Ovis aries: one gene and its partners. The protein of the gene in region 4 interacts with the protein of the main gene of each other region in a pairwise test. Links are inferred from orthologs where the notes say so. Each region holds a gene or a part of one and is shown on either strand. Other genes may lie near its edges.

What was found.
Region 1: the proteins of keratin-associated protein 10-12-like (region 4) and ZBTB9 interact in binary tests that used the Homo sapiens proteins (3 or more experiments, as listed by UniProt). The two-hybrid records come from large-scale screens. The link is inferred for Ovis aries from reciprocal best matches to the Homo sapiens genes KRTAP10-7 and ZBTB9.
Region 2: the proteins of keratin-associated protein 10-12-like (region 4) and BUD31 interact in binary tests that used the Homo sapiens proteins (3 or more experiments, as listed by UniProt). The two-hybrid records come from large-scale screens. The link is inferred for Ovis aries from reciprocal best matches to the Homo sapiens genes KRTAP10-7 and BUD31.
Region 3: the proteins of keratin-associated protein 10-12-like (region 4) and KLHL38 interact in binary tests that used the Homo sapiens proteins (3 or more experiments, as listed by UniProt). The two-hybrid records come from large-scale screens. The link is inferred for Ovis aries from reciprocal best matches to the Homo sapiens genes KRTAP10-7 and KLHL38.

What each region holds. Positions count from the first base shown.
Region 1 is NC_056073.1:7,781,652-7,785,817, reverse strand, and holds the start of ZBTB9 (zinc finger and BTB domain-containing protein 9), read right to left. Parts: upstream 2,809-4,166; 5' UTR 2,667-2,808; exon of another isoform or gene 2,560-2,666; intron 2,380-2,559; exon of another isoform or gene 2,305-2,379; 5' UTR 2,299-2,304; coding exon 910-2,298; 3' UTR 1-909. UniProt on the Homo sapiens protein: May be involved in transcriptional regulation.
Region 2 is NC_056077.1:37,431,350-37,435,656, reverse strand, and holds the start of BUD31 (protein BUD31 homolog), read left to right. Parts: upstream 1-1,499; 5' UTR 1,500-1,744; intron 1,745-1,791; exon of another isoform or gene 1,792-1,888; 5' UTR 1,889-1,996; exon of another isoform or gene 1,997-2,025; intron 2,026-3,060; exon of another isoform or gene 3,061-3,180; intron 3,181-3,543; 5' UTR 3,544-3,571; coding exon 3,572-3,665; intron 3,666-4,307. Other genes in the region: PDAP1 (28 kDa heat- and acid-stable phosphoprotein), read right to left, coding at 1,388-1,400. UniProt on the Homo sapiens protein: Involved in the pre-mRNA splicing process. May play a role as regulator of AR transcriptional activity; may increase AR transcriptional activity.
Region 3 is NC_056062.1:29,254,730-29,258,738, reverse strand, and holds the start of KLHL38 (kelch-like protein 38), read right to left. Parts: upstream 2,809-4,009; 5' UTR 2,625-2,808; intron 2,162-2,624; 5' UTR 2,002-2,161; coding exon 574-2,001; intron 1-573.
Region 4 is NC_056054.1:262,544,475-262,548,352, reverse strand, and holds keratin-associated protein 10-12-like, read right to left. Parts: upstream 2,562-3,878; 5' UTR 2,412-2,561; coding exon 1,512-2,411; 3' UTR 506-1,511; downstream 1-505. UniProt on the Homo sapiens protein: In the hair cortex, hair keratin intermediate filaments are embedded in an interfilamentous matrix, consisting of hair keratin-associated proteins (KRTAP), which are essential for the formation of a rigid and resistant hair shaft through their extensive disulfide bond cross-linking with abundant cysteine residues of hair keratins.

The sequences.
Region 1 (4,166 bases), on a different chromosome or scaffold from region 4:
CTGAGAGTATTTTATTTTTAGGTCAATGGCCATCTCCTGAGTTCACTGATCACACTTCAGTCCCTGTGATCAATATGAGTGATAAGTGGTGGTCAAAGGTAGACAAGAGGCACAGACTGTGGAGGGAATACCTCTATTAAAGAGGGTTCTAAGTGACTCATGGAATTCTCAATTTGTTAAAGCGCTCAACTACAACATACAAAATAAAGGTGTTGAAAAAGTACCTACTGGTGAGAAAGTAATTTATAGACTGAAGGGTTTCCAGAAAATCATAACAAAAGAAAAGTATATAAGACCTTTACTCATAAAATTTCAGCAATGATGAGGGAAAAGTAAAGCTTAGAGCTTAGTCTCTGGATTACTAGAACTCTGAATCAAACACATCTCTAGATGGAGACCAGCTCCCTTAACTTCTCATAGAGACTGAATTAAACATTTATCATAATTTTTCTTGCTCTAACTCCTCTCTCATCAAATAAAACTTCTAATCTGAAATTTAATCCAGTTTCCTGTATGAAAGGATCGATTACAGGCAACTGATCAGTATATCTAGGGCCTGTAAACCAGTCTCCCGGAGGATAGTTAGCAAAAACCTGGAGATGAGAAATCAAGTTTTCAAATCTGTCAGGTTGAGGCCCACATCCAAGAAGAGATCCATAATATATCTATCCTTGTGGAATAACTAACAAGATATGACGTTGCTGCTAGTCCAGTGGTTAGGACTCTGCACTGTCTACTGCAGGGGTGCAGGTTCAATCCCTGGTGGCATGCTACGAGGTATGGCCAAGAAAAAACCACCAACACCAACATCAAGATACAGGATTAGGGTACTGTGGTAGTGAGCGGTAATAAGTATCCATCAGCAGTAGTGGCTCCCTTGTCCTGAAAGTTAGCATATGGCCTTAGCAATCACTTGTAAGTCCAGTGAGCAGTGGCCCAGCCCTGACCCTTGCAGAGGTCCCTATGGCGAAGGAAACAGGCATGGACTCTGAACCGGCGACCACAGTGAGGACAGGCATGTAGGGCTCCAGCATGCGTCTTCATATGCTCTGTCAGGTGGTGCTTCAGCTTGAAACGCTTGTTGCAGATGCCACAGCCAAAGGGTCGAAGGCTGAATGTCAGCATGATGTGCCGGTCACGCTTTGGCTTCACTGCAAAGCGTTTCCCACACAAACAACCAAAGCGTTTTCCATCTGCAGGGGGAGCGCCACCTAGCTTCACAGGCCCATGCACAGCCTGCCCTACTCCCCCAGGTCCCCCACCCCCTGATAGGATTTCATTCCCATGAAGATCCACTGGTTTCCAGGATGGATCACCTCCTCCAGATGTTGTCCCTGCTCCTGAGGGCAGCAGGAACCCTAGTTGTCCATTCTCTTCAGTGTTCCCTGCTGGAAACACTTTGGTCTCCTCCTTTGCTCCTACAGACTGACTTCCGCCTCCAGCTATCTCCTCCTTGGACTCAAAGGGTTCCTGCTTGATGTAGAAGATTTTGGGGGGCAATGCAGTATGAGGAGCAGGAGGCTCAGGTGGGGCACTCTCGCCCTCTGGAACTCTGCAAGGAATAGTGGATGTGGGCAGGGGGTAGGATACAGGAGGGGGAGGAAAACTCCCTGATCCTCTCTGAGGCTGAGGAGTCTGACAGGGTGCTGCTGACCCTTGGTCCTCCTCATCTTCTTCCTCATCTTCCTCTTCAACCTGAAGCTGTAATATATCTCCCAGTTCACTCCCCTCCCCTCCAATCGAGCTCTGGTTAGAAGCAGAAGACTGTGCCGGGGTCTGGAAAGGAGAAGAGCGGATGGACCAGCCTCCTGTGGTGGAAAGAAGTGTGTGGAAAGGGGCTACTCCTCGGGACGAAATCCCACCACCTGCGTTTTCCAGTTCTCTAAGGATCTCTGAGCACTGATCTACCACTTGCCACATCTGCAGGCCACTGGCCACAAGAAGGTGTGCAGGGAGAGCATCCAGGGGCAGACGGAGGTGCCCCGAATAAATGAGCTGGAGCAGCCCCTCGAAGGCATCGGCTTCGATAACGCTGGGTAGGGTGAGACGCGGTGCATCCCCCAGAAGTAGTTTGTCGTGGAAGTAAGGAGAAGCGGCGGCCAACACTGCTTTGTGGGCCCTCAGTTCGCGGCCCTGCACCAGGAGAGAGACGTCACAGAACTTTCCCTCCAGCCTGTGGCGGTTCAGGGCCTCCAGCAGCAAAGAACTGTGCTGAGGGAACTCGATCTGGATCGTCCGTGGGGCTGGGTTGCAGGCTGGGGAGGGGGCTACAGGAGGCAAAGGCGTCGAGGTATCCATGGCCTCCTGGGGAAGAAAGAGATCCCAGAGGGTCGGGTACAGGAGGTGAGAGGGCGGGGGAGAGCCCCTGCGCGACGAGGGCTGTGGAGGAAAGAAGGGGTCACAGAAGCTGTGGATAAAGACAATCGTATCTCCCCAAGCAACGTCCGCCTCCGCTGCACCCCAACGTGTGGAACTTTTCGGTAGCCGGTGGTTCGGGCAGAACAGTCCCACACACTCCCCCGCCAAGAAAACGAAAACAAACCACAACAAAACACCAACCGGGGATTGAACTTGAAGGGCCTGTGGCGAGGAGGAGGTCCTTCAGCCGCGAGCCGGATCCCGCCGGCCCGGTCGGCTTCTTCCCACCGTTCCGCTCCCCAACTCACGTGCCCGCAGAGTCCAACTCCCTGGCAGGTACCCGGGGACCGCGAGCGCCAGCCACTTGGCCCTTCCTGTCGCCACGCCCCCACGGGTACACACGCGGTCCTGCGTCCAGAGCGGCTCTGCAGCAACCGCGCCGCCTCGGCCGGAAGCCGCCTCCTCCCCGCCGGAAGCGGACCCCCGGGGAGTTGGGCGGGGCCAGGGAGGCAGCCAATCGGAGGGCGCCGGCCTACAAGCCTCACGTCGATTGGTCATGCCGGCGAGAAGGCGGTCCTGGCGGGAGGCAGTACACCCGGCTGGGGCCGCAGAGGGGATGAGAATGCGCAGGCGGTACCGAGGGTGCCACCAGTGAGCCGTGCCAGTGATTAAATGTAACGCCTGCCCCCGATGGGTGCTGAGATTAAGAGGACACCTAGCGTATTAGGTATTGTTCATATCACCTTCTATCCCACGCCCCCTCCCCCGACCCGCCACCAGCGAGGTAGGAGTTCCCATCCTTTCCTCAGGGGAAGCCGAGACGGCAAGTGCTGGCTCAGGGGCCGACTCCACAAGGCTGAGGCACCAAGTTCTTTCCTCCGTTCCGTACGGGAGCACTTTAACCAACAATGAAATAATCTTCTCTTCTAGGTAATTACTTTTAAGGGACATGTAGATGTACACTTATTTTTTATCAGATACTGCTGCTGTTCCTTAACCTCTTTTCTCTTGGGGTTAAGTGGCGCAATGGTGAGACACATGGGGGAAATTTGGCCTGTGCAAAAACCCCTACTCAAAACAATCTTGCTAGTTGGGAGAGCGATATTCTAGGGCCAAGACTATGGCGTCACACAAGGATACAGAATTTCTCCCAAGCTGTCAGCTTCCTCAAAAAGCAGTTCCTGTCACCATGCTGATCCTCCGGGAGGTCCGAGACTAGGAAAGTCAGCACCGCGGTAAAAGAACAATCTCCGTTTATTAAACATGATTTTTCTGTTTCACCACACACTCCAGAAAAAAAGGAAATGGGGCTGGGAGTGGAAGGGGCAGTGGTGGGGGAGAGAGTAGGCTGGGGGTGGGGTGGGGTGGGGAGGGAGAACGAGAAAACAAAATAAAACAGGTAGGAAGAACATCTCCCTACCCTTATTGGGGGAGAGGGAATCGTGGTGGGGAGGGGGCCAGGAAGCGCTGTACAGAGGGGTTGCCCCCAGCCCACACACACACACCCCGGATATGTACAGTACAAATCCCAGATAATTACAACAGCCAAAGAAGAGAGGAAAGGAGGTCCAGGGGTAGGGTCTGAGGTTGGGAAAGCAAGGAAGGGCACAGGGATAAAATTTCACATATTTACAACTTTTATATAAGTATAAATTTGGCCCCGGCTGGGTGTCTGTATGTAGGGGTATGGGACTGAAGGGGAACTGTCCATACAAAAGAAAGAAGGGTGGAGTCTGAGAAGTCTCAATACCAAACGCAAGAAGGGATGAGGGGGCAAGGCTGGGTAGAGGACAGCAGTCAGGGAAGAG
Region 2 (4,307 bases), on a different chromosome or scaffold from region 4:
TTGTAACCGCCAACCTTGGCTCAAAGCACCTATTAAGTAGGACTCTTAGAATTCTGGCACCAGAAGTGAAAGTTGCTCAGTCGTGTCTGACTCTTTGCGACCCCATGTACTACACAGTCCATGGAATTCTCCAGGCCAGAACACTGGAGTGGGTAGCTTTTCCCTTCTCCAGAGACTCTTCTCAACCCAGGGATCGAACTCAGGTTGGTACCCCTAATACCCCTCCTTTTGCAGAACATAAGACTGAGAGACACAGAGGAGACAAAGCTCTTCCTACCACAGAATAAACCACTAGAAAATTATGTTTAGAGATTCAGCTCTGAAAACCCCAGCATCTCTGGGAGCAGAGTCAGGAAGTCGTTTAGGTTTGAAAAAGCTCCAAGCAGATCTTCCTGTGGGCTGAGACCCTTAACCAACATGTCACAGGAGAGACCAATATTAACTGAACACCTCTTCTGCGCCAGGAGTAGCCAGGCACGGCGAGGGCGCTATGTATTTACGACCCCGATCCCAACTCTCCAGGCTAAGGGTTATTAGCTAGGTGTTCCAGATGGGGAAAACAGGCTGGGAGAACTTGTTCAAGGCCATAAGGCTAGACAGTGACACAGCTGGGCTTCAAGTTAGGCACTCTTGACTCAGGGGTAAGAGGGTGGAGGACGGTGTACAAACGTACCGGGGAAGCCATGGATTCTTTACTTTCTTGACCAAGGAACTGGCAAAGTCTTAGGAGCAACAATAGATAATGCTTACTGGACACTTAGCGACTATCAGCACCATACAGCGCCCTCCACGTGGATCACCTACTTCAAGACTCGCCATCAGTATTATGAGGTAGATACAATCATACGCCTATACTTGCAAAAACACAGGGAGGTTATGCGGCTGGCTCAAAGGCCCACGTCTAGCCGCTCGAAAAGGGCAGTCAAAGCTAGGTCGGCCAGGCTCGAGAGCATCCAGCTAGGTCGCCAGAGGCAAGCCTAGCTCGCCCAGAGCCCGAGAAGGCCCACGTATTACGCGCGAGGCAGGCGGGCCCGGCTCTGGCGCGGGACGCGGTGACTCAGTGCCCGGCGAGCCTGAAAGGGGTAGGAAACTCCAGACCCCACCCCCCAGGCCGAGAGAAGCGCGCCCTAGACAGGCCATCCGGGTGGGCGAGGACCCGGCGCCTCCAAATCTCCTCAGACCCCCAGGGAGCGGCTCGAGGCCACCACTACGGTCCTCGGTTTCTCCAGCGGGACAATTGAGCGTCGAGGCCCAGGCCGGGCCCTCAGCCGGAGCGGACGTCCTCCCTCCGAGTCGCTCTCTGAGGCGCCCGCGGGCTGACTGGACGGCGGGAGCCGGACTCGGGCCGCTCCTCGAGGCCCGCGGGCGACACGCGCCCGCCCCTCACCTCCTTTAGGCATCGCGGCTCCGGCGGCTGCGGCGGCGGCGCCTCGAGCTGACACCGGAACCGGAAACTTCTCGGGCTCGACTTCTTCCGCCCGGCCAGTTTCCCGCCCCCCGGCCCCGCCACCCGGCCGCCTCTCAGCGCGCCGCCGCCGCCGCGAGAACCGCGGCCCTCAGGGAGGCCGGGCGGTCCCACGCGCCGCCTGAGCCCAGGCTCGCCCGCGCGCTGCTGGGCAACAGAGCCCCTCCCAACCCCGCCGTGGGAGGCGCGTGAGCCTGCCAGCCCACGCCGCCGGGCAGTGCGGACGAAAGGAGAGCGCGGCGCCGGAATTGTGCGCAGGCAGGGCTGCGGACACCTAAGGTAACGCAATCGCCGCGCTCCGTGGGGCGGGGCTCCGCGAGGACCTCATCGTGAAGAGATACTTGGGGAAGCTGAGGCGGTGGATACGGAAGGGACGTTGCACCGCGACGGAGGCCTAGTGAGTGTTTCCCTTCTCTTCTCTAGGACCTTGGTAACGGCTGGGGACCAGGGGTCGGACGTCTGCGTTGGCCCAGAAGGCGATCTGAACACCCGAACTGGGACAGGTTCGGGCCTCTGGACCCGAAGGTCGAAGTGAGTTCCCGAGACTAGGCGGCGTCTTGGTGGGTCCGCGGAGGGCATGGGAAATTTGGGGGTTCCCTTGCTTCTAGGTTTCCCCGCCCTTATTTTTCGCTCATTTCCCCCTCGCCTAGAACGTTTGTTGTCTAAATAGTGCTTTTCCTTGTCATCCCGGTTCAGATGCCGTAGTCTCCATGAGCCTTACAACCCGGGTTGTAGCCGTCTTCACTCAGCTTCTTCCGAACGCCTTTCGGCTCTCCGCCCCTCCCGAGCGCTACCACCTTTCTAACACCGCCCCACATCTCTTTCTTCCTGACCAGGTTGCTTCTTAGCTGTTACCTCCCATGGGAGGCCTCCACCAACTCCCAAGCTGGGCCAGGCCCTCAACTCTCCGTGGGTCTTAGTTAGCAGAGTGGTCATTCCGTCGTCTTTGTCCACCCAGCCCGTGCTCCTTGAGACAGGGACCAGATTCCATTCGTCTCTAGCTTCAGAGCAGGGGAGACAAGTGTAAAGACAGATTGGGGCGTCAGGAGCCCCCGATGAGTCAAACTCTGCCGGTTCCCAGCTCTGGGCGACCCTGAGTTTGATCTTCTGTAAGGTGGTTGCTGAGAATTCACTTGATGCGGCGAAGAGGGCGGGGCTTCGTAAACATATCGGGAGGGAGGAACTGAATGAACGTGGGAAAGGAGGAGTCTGCTCTGCTTAAAGATAATTAACAGGAGTTCTCTTTTAGTGTATTTTTTAAAATATTCTGAAAATATTTATTTGACTGCACCGGGTCTTCGTTGAGGCATGCAAACTCTTAATTGCGGCATGTGGGAACTAGTTCCCTGACCAGGGATGGGACCCAGGCCCCCTGCGTTGGGAGCTCAGAGTCTTAGCAACTGGACCACCAGGGAAGTCCCACCCTGAGTTCTCTTTGCTGGCTACGAAATGCCTTGCGGTTTGAAAAATGACTTGCTATGTAGATCTGGGCTGGTCTTTTCTTTGGGGTTTACATGACTTCCTTTATATAGTATGTTTGTTGGGTTTAAAAGAGACCTTGGCAATCCAGTTAATACACTGTCCTCACTTTATAGACAAGATTGAGGACCAGAAAGGGAATGTGACCTCTCCAAAGTCATAGCTGGACAAGAATCCGAGCCTGTAACTGAAGAGACCTGAGATCTTTCTGTTACTCTTGGGAAACAGGCCCTAAGGTACTTTGGTCTCACTCTTCTTCCTGTCTAAACGCTCGGCGTTGCTCTCCCAGCCAGCCTCCCTCACACTGTGTTGTGCTTCCCTTTCTACGCTGCATTTCCCTGCTGGAATATCACCTTCTCGGGGACAGTGTGTGTCTTATTCTTCGTATGATAATAGCAAAACTCTACCAAGCACACCTTAAATACCAGGCACGTTACATGTAATCAGGCCCCACATGGCTCCTTAAGTAGATTCTCCCCGTTACACAGATGAGGAAACAGACTTACAGATATGAATGTGCACCAGAGTTGTGGCTTGTGAAGTCCTCTGGGGATCCTGAGGCTCAGAAGCCAATTCATTTTAATTTTTTTTCCCCACAGATTTTTGCAGACTATCTTCTGGGAAAAAATGCCTAAAGTCAAAAGAAGCCGGAAAGCTCCCCCAGATGGTTGGGAGTTGATCGAGCCAACACTGGATGAATTAGATCAAAAAATGAGAGAAGGTGAGTTGGGGAGTTCCTGTCTCGGTGGGCTGTGTCCCAAGGATAAATGGGAGGAGACAGGCTGCACCACCGAGGCCGCCTGACACTGACATGTTCTGTTTGCTTTTTAACTGATAAGTGAAGTTGCTCTGTCGTGTCCAACTCTTGGCAACCCCATGGACTGTAGCCTACCAGGCTCCTCTGTCCGTGGGATTTTCCAGGCAATAGTACTGGAGTGGATTGCCATTTCCTTTTCCAGGGGATCTTCCCAACCCAGGGATTGAACCCAAGTCTCCTGCATTGTAGACCGACGCTTTACCGTCTGAGCCACCAGGGAATAACTGATAGGAATACCATAAATGCCAGAAAGTAAGATAATACAAATGAGAAGGTCCTCAAAAATGTTTTTGAGTATATAAGACCTTTAGGGAGTATAGGTCAAATAGTCTACTTAGAATTATTTACTGGTAGAAGTATATTTAAAATCATACGAACTATATTTACTTGGAAAATCCTGTTCTTTTTCACTCCGGATTTTCTGAAGTGTGTGTGTTTGGCCTTTGCTGTGGGTCTGTCTTCACGCGCTTTGCTCTGCGTCCTCTGCCAGTTGTCCGGAGTGCACAGTCTTCCCTTCCCCCGTGTTAGGTGGTCCTGCACTCTGTG
Region 3 (4,009 bases), on a different chromosome or scaffold from region 4:
ACATTGGAGAAGGAAATGGCAGCCCACTCCAGTGTTCTTGCCTGGAGAATCCCAGGGAGGGGGGAGCCTGGTGGGCTGCTGTCTATGGGGTCACACAGAGTCGGACATGACTGAAGTGACTTAGCAGCAGTAGCAGTAGCAGCTAGATCCTTTAGAGGTATCTGATGTACCTTTGTATGTATTGACCTTACCCAAAAGAATTCATAAATGGATAAGATCTTGCTGAAATTAAACTTCCTTCCTTCCTCCCTCCCTTCCTCCTTTATCCTTCCCTTGCAACTAACAAGCATGTATAATACGCATATATGTGCATAGGTATGTGTGTATTCATGTATCTGTGTATGTACACATGTGTTTGCACATGCACACATGTATACATGCGTGTGCATGCAGTGCACACACGTGTGAGCATATGTGTCATGCATGCATCTGTACATATGTGTGTGTGCATGAATGTGCTTGTTTGTAGGTGTGTGTAGACATAGTGGGAAGAACCATTTACCTGGATACATGTATGCATACGTGTGTGTGTGTGTGTGTGTGTGCACTTGTATGGTGGGAAGTACTGTTTACCTGGATAAGGCGCACAGGATTCTGCATGATGTCTTCTCCCCCAAAAAGGTAGAGTCTCTGGTCTTTCACAGCAACCGCAGGGTGGAGGACCCCCACTGGCATGCTGGCCATCCTCTCCCAGACGTTGCCGACACTGTCATATCTCTCCATGGAGCCCATGACCTCGTGCCCCTCACCAATCCCCCCGATGGAGAAGATGAAGTTCTTGTGGGCAGCGCTTCTGTGGGAGTAGCGGGCCGCCAGCATGGGCTGCCCTGGCCTCCACTGATTCAGTTTCAGGGAGAAGACGTAGACCTTGGCACTGGGCACACTCTTCCCCACAGCCATGCCCCCCAGCACGTAGATGCCGCGGTGCAAGGAGACGGCTGAGGCCTTGTACAGGCGGGCCGGGAGTTTGGCAAGGCTCTGCCACCGGCCAGTCTGTCCGTCGTACAGCAGGACATCCCTGGTGGTCTGCTGGTTGTCCTTCCTTCCACCCAAGAGGATGAGGAAGTCTTGGTAAGAGTTTCTTGGCGGGACATGCCACAGAGGTTGGAGGCCCGCAGAACTAGCGGTGCTGTACAGAGAAAACACCTGCCTCTTGGCGGTCTCCAGGATGGTCTGGCAGGGGGGCGAAGACTGGAGGAGGGCGTCGTTGGCGATGAAGTGGTGGAAGAAGGCCGGGTGGACGTACTGCAGCCTGACCTGCTTGAACAGTTCCTGCACGTATCGCTTCCGGGTCTGGAGGTCATGCTTGATCCAAACCATGAGGGCCTCGAACACCTTCTCCTCCTCCCCACACAGCCCATCGTCCCCCAGGTAGTCTCTCAGTTCCAAGGCACAGAGCTCCTTCAGGTCAGCCGACGCGGCCACTTCTGGGAAATATGTCAGGGCCACCTCCCTGGCTTTCTTCCGGAGGGTCTCACAGCTGAAGATTTCAGAGAGTCTAGTCATGCCCAGGCAGTTGCTGGGGCTCAGCTGGCTCTGGAGGAAGGAGGAGCAGGCCTCGAGCAGCTTGGGGTACTGCAGCATGGATGCGGCCTCCATCAGGGGCAGGACACTTTCCACAGTGATGTGCGCCTCACCCGTGTACACATACAGGACGATTCGCTCCAGAGTCGAGGCATCGATGCCTTTCAGCTGGACCTTGGCCTCTCGGCTCTCCCGGAAGTTGCTGCAGAACATGGCCCTGAAGTAGGGACTGCTGGAGGCCAGCACGTTGCGGTGGCAGGGGACCTCCCGGGCCCCGGCGCAGATGCTTACGTCGGTCAGGATCCGATTTTGCCTCAAGTCGTTGAGCTGCCTCAGCAAGTCAGAGGAGAAGTCATGGTCTTTGAAGAGGAGCCCCTCTGATGACTCCATGTCCATCCTGTAAAGACGGGGAGAAGTCCCAAGAAGGAGGTCGTCCTGGAGGGTTAAGCTGTGGCGGCTCCGAGACTTACAGCACATCTATCTGTCCATTCACTAAGCTCTTTGTGGGTACCACCAAGAATACGCCTTAGTGAAGACTGGAAAATGGGACCACCTAGTGTACGGGCCTCAGCGAAAATCTCTCTATTTGGTTATGATTATTCTCAGAGGTAACAGAGAAATAGCATCTGCAGACAATCTGAAAAAAGAAAAGAAAAGAAAAAAAATTTAGAAGAGAGAGAGAGCAGGTGGTAAGTTGGGAGAGTTGAAGGTGGTAAGTGGTTACAGGGGCTAAAACGTTAGCTTGAAGCAAAATGACAGTCTGTGCATTTGAAGCATAAGTCTGTGAACTTTTCTCCGGATTCTCAGCATATCTCTTACTTAGTAAACTCATCCAAACATCTTTCCGGGTGTTAGTCATTCCCCACGGATGTCATGCTGGGGGCGTGGCCTCTGGTATCGAGACAGAAATGAGGGATGGAAATGGATCTTTGCAATGTTTTGTTTTTATTTTTAAACATGACCTCACGGAGTCTTGTGGCTTTTGTTTTTAAAATGAGATAAATAGAAAGCAGAGACCGACGGTACCCTGGGCAGGGTTTATTGGATGACATCTGGCCACCCGTTCACCTGCAGAAGAATTAAACATTAGAGCTATTTACCTCGTTTTCCTGCAGTGAAAACCATCGATACCTGCCGCGGCTGGTCCCTCCGGAGACTTTCCACCTCTGGCTCCAAGTGAAACCATAAAACCAGGCCTTTCCTTAAGCTGGCAAATAATTTGTCCTGGGAGAATTCTGGATTTGTTTATGCTGAAGGCGCTTTCACAGTTTTCTAGAGCTTTGTGAAAGAACTGCTGGGCAGAGAGACCGTGTATACATTCCAGGGCTAAGAATAGTTGCGTATGTACTTTCCACTGTTATGACATGTGACTTTCCATTTGCCTTTTGCAGCAACCCGAGGGCCTGTGGGCCCAGCGCATGCCCACATGCCTTGTTTCCTTGGCAGATGTTTACATGGGCAGAAATAGATTTGGAGGAACAACTTCTCTTAGACAAGACTTTGCTGCCCACTTGGACACATCCTGAATGCCTTGTCCTAAAAGTGCCTGGGAATTCTAGATGTCTGTAAACAGGTTGCTGTGACCTGGGAAAAGTCACTGAAGATAGTTCTGGGTGAGTTTAAGGTGGCAGATGGTCACAGGGAAGCCAGAACATGGGGGCCCAAGGGCATTGCTCAGTTGGTCTCTATTTCCTACTGTCTGCGGGCAGGATTGTTGGAGAAGGGCTGTGAGTTCCTCCTCCAAGCTCCAAGGTGATGGTCTCTGTGATGAAAATTGTTTTAGATATTTGTGGAGCACCCCCAGGGTTTCCAGACTTGGGGGAGACCAAAGCATTGTGGATCCTCCTTATCACAGGGGCTTCTGTTTTAAAGTGGCCGGGGCAGTACTCTTGTGGGTCACACCTGCTTCTCACCAGAGCCCTGCTGACTGTTCTTCAGTTCATTAAAAAAAAAATATTTCAGGCTTGCTTTTCTGTTTTATTTTTCCAATTTTTCCCATCAGAGAGGCTTGAGCTAGAGGAAGGAGGAAACTGTGTTGCTCCAGGAGCAGAGTGTGGGCAGGAGAGAGAGAGAGAGAGAGTGAGTGAGTGAGTGAGGATGAAAGGAAGGAGAAGAAAGAGGAGGGGGAGGAAGAAGAGAAGGAGAATGCTGATGGTGATGGAGTAGGATGCAATCTCCAAATATAAGAATTAGAGCCATTCTGGAGGGCTGTAGAGCTGCCAGGGTGAGTTAAAGGGACCCTGAATCTATCTTGCCTCTCCGTCCAGGGAGGTCCTGATTGAGGGTACCAGCAGTGAATGATGGCAGGGAAGCCTGGCTTTCTCTCCTTCTCAAGTCTTGCTGGGATTATTGCAACAGTTGCTCCTAACCCTCGCTCCTTGTCTCTCCCTCCAGTACATCCACCCTGTCACCACCACAGTCACCCCCAAGAAGCCAAATCAGAATCTTCCCATCCCTCAGCATCATGCCCTTCAATGGCTCCCAC
Region 4 (3,878 bases):
CTGGGTCGTGAAGACCTTTTTTGCATAGTCCTTCTGTGTATTCTTGCCACCTCTTCTTAATATCTCCTGCTTCTGTTAGGTCCATACCATTTCTGTCCTTTATTGAGCCCATCTTTGCATGAAATGTTCCCTTAGTATCTCTAATTTTCTTGAAGAGACCTCTGGTCTTTCTCATTCTATTGTTTTCCTCTTTTTCTTTGCACTGATCACTGAGGAAGGCTTTCTTATCTCTCCTTTTATTCTTTGGAACTCTGCATCCAAATGGGTATATCTTTCCTTTTCTCCTTTGCCTTTGATCACTTGACAGTGATTAAGACCATCCCCAACCAAAAGAAATGCAAAAAGGCAAAAATGGTTATCTGAGGAGACTTTACAAATAGGTGAGAAAAGAAAAGAAGCTAAAGGCAAAGGAGAAAAATGGTACTTGTCTTGAGTAAACTCAGGAAAGAGATTTACGAGTTGAGGCAGGACACCTGTTTACCAGTCCTCTTAGGGTTTTGCTCCATTCCCTCTTTCCTGGATGGAACTGAGCTGGGGTGGGGATAGTATCCCCTGGGGAGATGCCTTCAGTTCCTGGTCCCTCTTGCCCCAGCCACCACTGTTCTCCTGCTCCTATGGGCCTCATCAGTCTGTTTCTGGTGGGGGATAAGTAGTTGACTGGTGCTGACTGGTGCCCACTTCCTCTATTGCTAATGTCCACTAAGACTGCAGGCTCTTTCTCCCCTACTGTCCTGAGGGTTTGTTCACAAGGCGTCTCTTTTGTTCTGTCCCTCCTCGGTCAGGCTTTGAAACCTTGAGTAGAATGAGTGATGTCTAAATTGACACTGCACCCCCTTGGAGCCCCCAGAATCTCCTCCTCAGTGTTGGCACGTCTCTCCAACAGCACTTACCCTGGACTCTCCGATCCAGACCCAGGAGGGTTTCTGCTGCTCCCCAAGTCACCCTCAACCTGCATGGGCAGGGGGAGGAACCCAGGGCCCACTCAGGATCTGAGCCTTCTGCACCCACACCCGCCTCCATGTCAGCCTTGAAGGGCCGTCCACTGCAGGGAGAGTGAGCCTGGGGTAGGAAGGGACATAGAATGTGTGAATGGCACCAGCTTTCAGATCCTGTTGTTTCTCAGCTGCTTTGAACTCGGATGGGAGAATGTGTCTTTACTGCCTGGCTTCTGCCAGCAGAGCACCTACAGGCCATATTTGGAGGGGCTGAGGGGGCCCAAGGGAGGAGGCCAAAACAGACATGGGTCCATATTTCCTGACACAAACGCTTTATTCATTAGAGCAGCTGATGTTTGTCATATGGGATTCAAGCAGCCTGTCCTGCAGAGGAGGCTCCTGGGGCCCCACAGTCCACCCTGTCAAGGGCTTTCTGAGATGCCTGCCAAGTTCGAATCCTCTCTGGGCAGCAGCTGCGTGTCCAACTTTGGGAGAGGGGAGGTCCTGGCGCCAGCAGAGGGGCTCCTGGAGCTTGGGAGAGAGACAGCAGCTTGTGGAGGGCGGGTGATTGGCCGGTCAGCAGCAGAGCTCCGGGGCTGAGGTGGGGATGCCGCAGGCCAGGCGGGAGCATGCAGGCCGGCAGAGCAGGGACACAGAGGAGGCTGGGCGGCAGCAGCTTGGCTGGCAGGAGGAGGTGGGCACACAGCAGGCGAGGCGGCACGCAGGGCGGCAGAGGAGGGACACAGAGGAGGCCGGGCGGCAGAAGCTGGGCTTGCAAGAGGAGGCGGGCACACAGCAGGTGGGGCCGCACACGGGGCGGCACACAGGACGGCAGAGGAGGGACACGGAAGAGGAGGGTCTGCAGCAGGATGAGGGGGCTGAGCAGGGGGAGGTCTCACAGCACACGGGCCTGCAGCAAACAGGTGTACAGCAGACAGGCCTGCAGCAGACGGGCTCACAGCAGGCCTGCTGGCAGCAGGAGGAGGTGCAGCAGGAGGGCTGGCAGCTGGACTGCTGGCAACATGAGGAGGTTGAGAAGGGGGAGGCCTCACAGCAGACAGGCCTGCAGCAGACAGGTGTGCAGCAGACAGGTGTACAGCAGACAGGCCTGCAGCAGACGGGCCTGCAGCAGACAGGCTCACAGCAGACAGGTTCACAGCAGGCCTGCTGGCAGCGGGAGGAGGTGCAGCAGGAGGACTGGCAGCTGGACTGCTGGCCACATGAGGCTGGGCAGGAGCTGCTGCAGGCTGGCTGGCAGCAGGGGCTGGACTCACAACTCACTGGGGCGCAGAGGAGGGTCAGGCGGGGGGCCGAGGTGCAGCAGCTGGGGGCACAGCAGGGGGGCTCGCAGCAGCTCTCTGGACAGTCATCCACCTGCCAGGAGGAGCCGGTGCAGGAGTCACAGGATCCAGGCAGGCAGATCCGGCTGCTGTAGCTCAGGTCGCTGGAGCAAGCAGACAGGTTAGAGAAGGCCATGGTGGAGGTGGTACGGCTGGAGGAGGTGTAAGTGTGTGTGAGTGTGTGAGTGAAGTGCTGAGGGTGTCTGCTTTTATACCCGCCCTGAGTATGCGCGTGGCCCTGGTCGGAGGCTCCCACGCTCTCCCTTCCTTGTTGCTGTTTGGAGCTGACCCTCATTAGGGCTGCTGTGTTTTCTACAATTAGCTTTTACTCATTAAACATGTGAGTACGTTGCAAGAGTCTGTTTTCCCATCTGTTCTTTGTTTGGCTCCAGAAAACTTGTGGAGGATGCAAGACGCAAGTTTCTGCTGAATGCCTGCCAGGGTTCTTAAGTCACGTTCACGGAGGGAGGGGCTGAGCGTGAGACAAGTTCCCAGCCACTGCAGCCGCTCCCACTTCACGCCAGCCTTGACAGTGTGAGAATACATAGGGAAAGATGCCTAGCTTTACCGCAGCCCAAACTATACCTAAGAGCATTACTAAGAAGATAAGTTGCGAGCGAAATAGAAAACTTGACCAAAGAACACACACAACATATATCCACTGGGACCCGAGAGGTGTAAGCAAGAAACTCAGAGCTATAGACTGAATTACCACTCTTTCTGGATCAATCCATCCCTGATGTAACTTCAATCAGAACCCAAAAGAAATATTTTTGGCATATAAAGTGAAGATATTGAACTGCTAGAAAATATTTGCAATGTAAAAGTTGAAAGCCTTTACAACTAAAGCAGGATATGATACAATAGAATCAAACACAAGCACACAGTCCATTCAAATTTCCAATCAACATTTGAAAAGCTACTGGATATCACTGATAATTAAAAGGCTCTAAATTAAAACACAAATATCCCACCTGCAAGATCAGCCAAGATTTACAACACTGGTAACACCCAGTGCTGCACAGTCTGAGGTCCTCACTCTTCTTTAAAAATTAGTTAACTTTTCGCTGAGCTGGGTCTTTGTTGCTACATGTAGGCTTTCCCTGGTTGTGGCAAACGGGGCTTACTTTTTGTTGCAGTGGGCAGGCTGCTCTTGGCAATGGCTTATCTTATTGAGGAGCACTGGCTTTAGGACATATGGGCTTTGGTAGTTGTGGCACGTGGGCTAGTCCCAGACCAGGGATTAAATTTATGTTCTTTGCATTGGCAAGTGGATTGTTAACCACTGGATCACCAGGGAAGCTCTAGGGGCCTCCCTGTTAGAAATCCTTAACAGGTACGTTTTTTTTTTTATTACATGTAACAAATAATATAAAATTAACCATTTTAAAGTGTTCGATTCAGGGACATTTAGTACAGTCACAACACTGTACAACTATGACCACTATCTAGTCCCGGGACATTCCCAAAAGGAAATCTTGTAGTATTGGGTAGACCCTCCCCAGTCCCTGTCAAGCACCGCTCTGCTTTCTGTCTCTATGACTTTGGCTGTTCTGCTCATTTCATGTAAAAGGAATCACACAATAGGTGGCCTTTTGTGTCT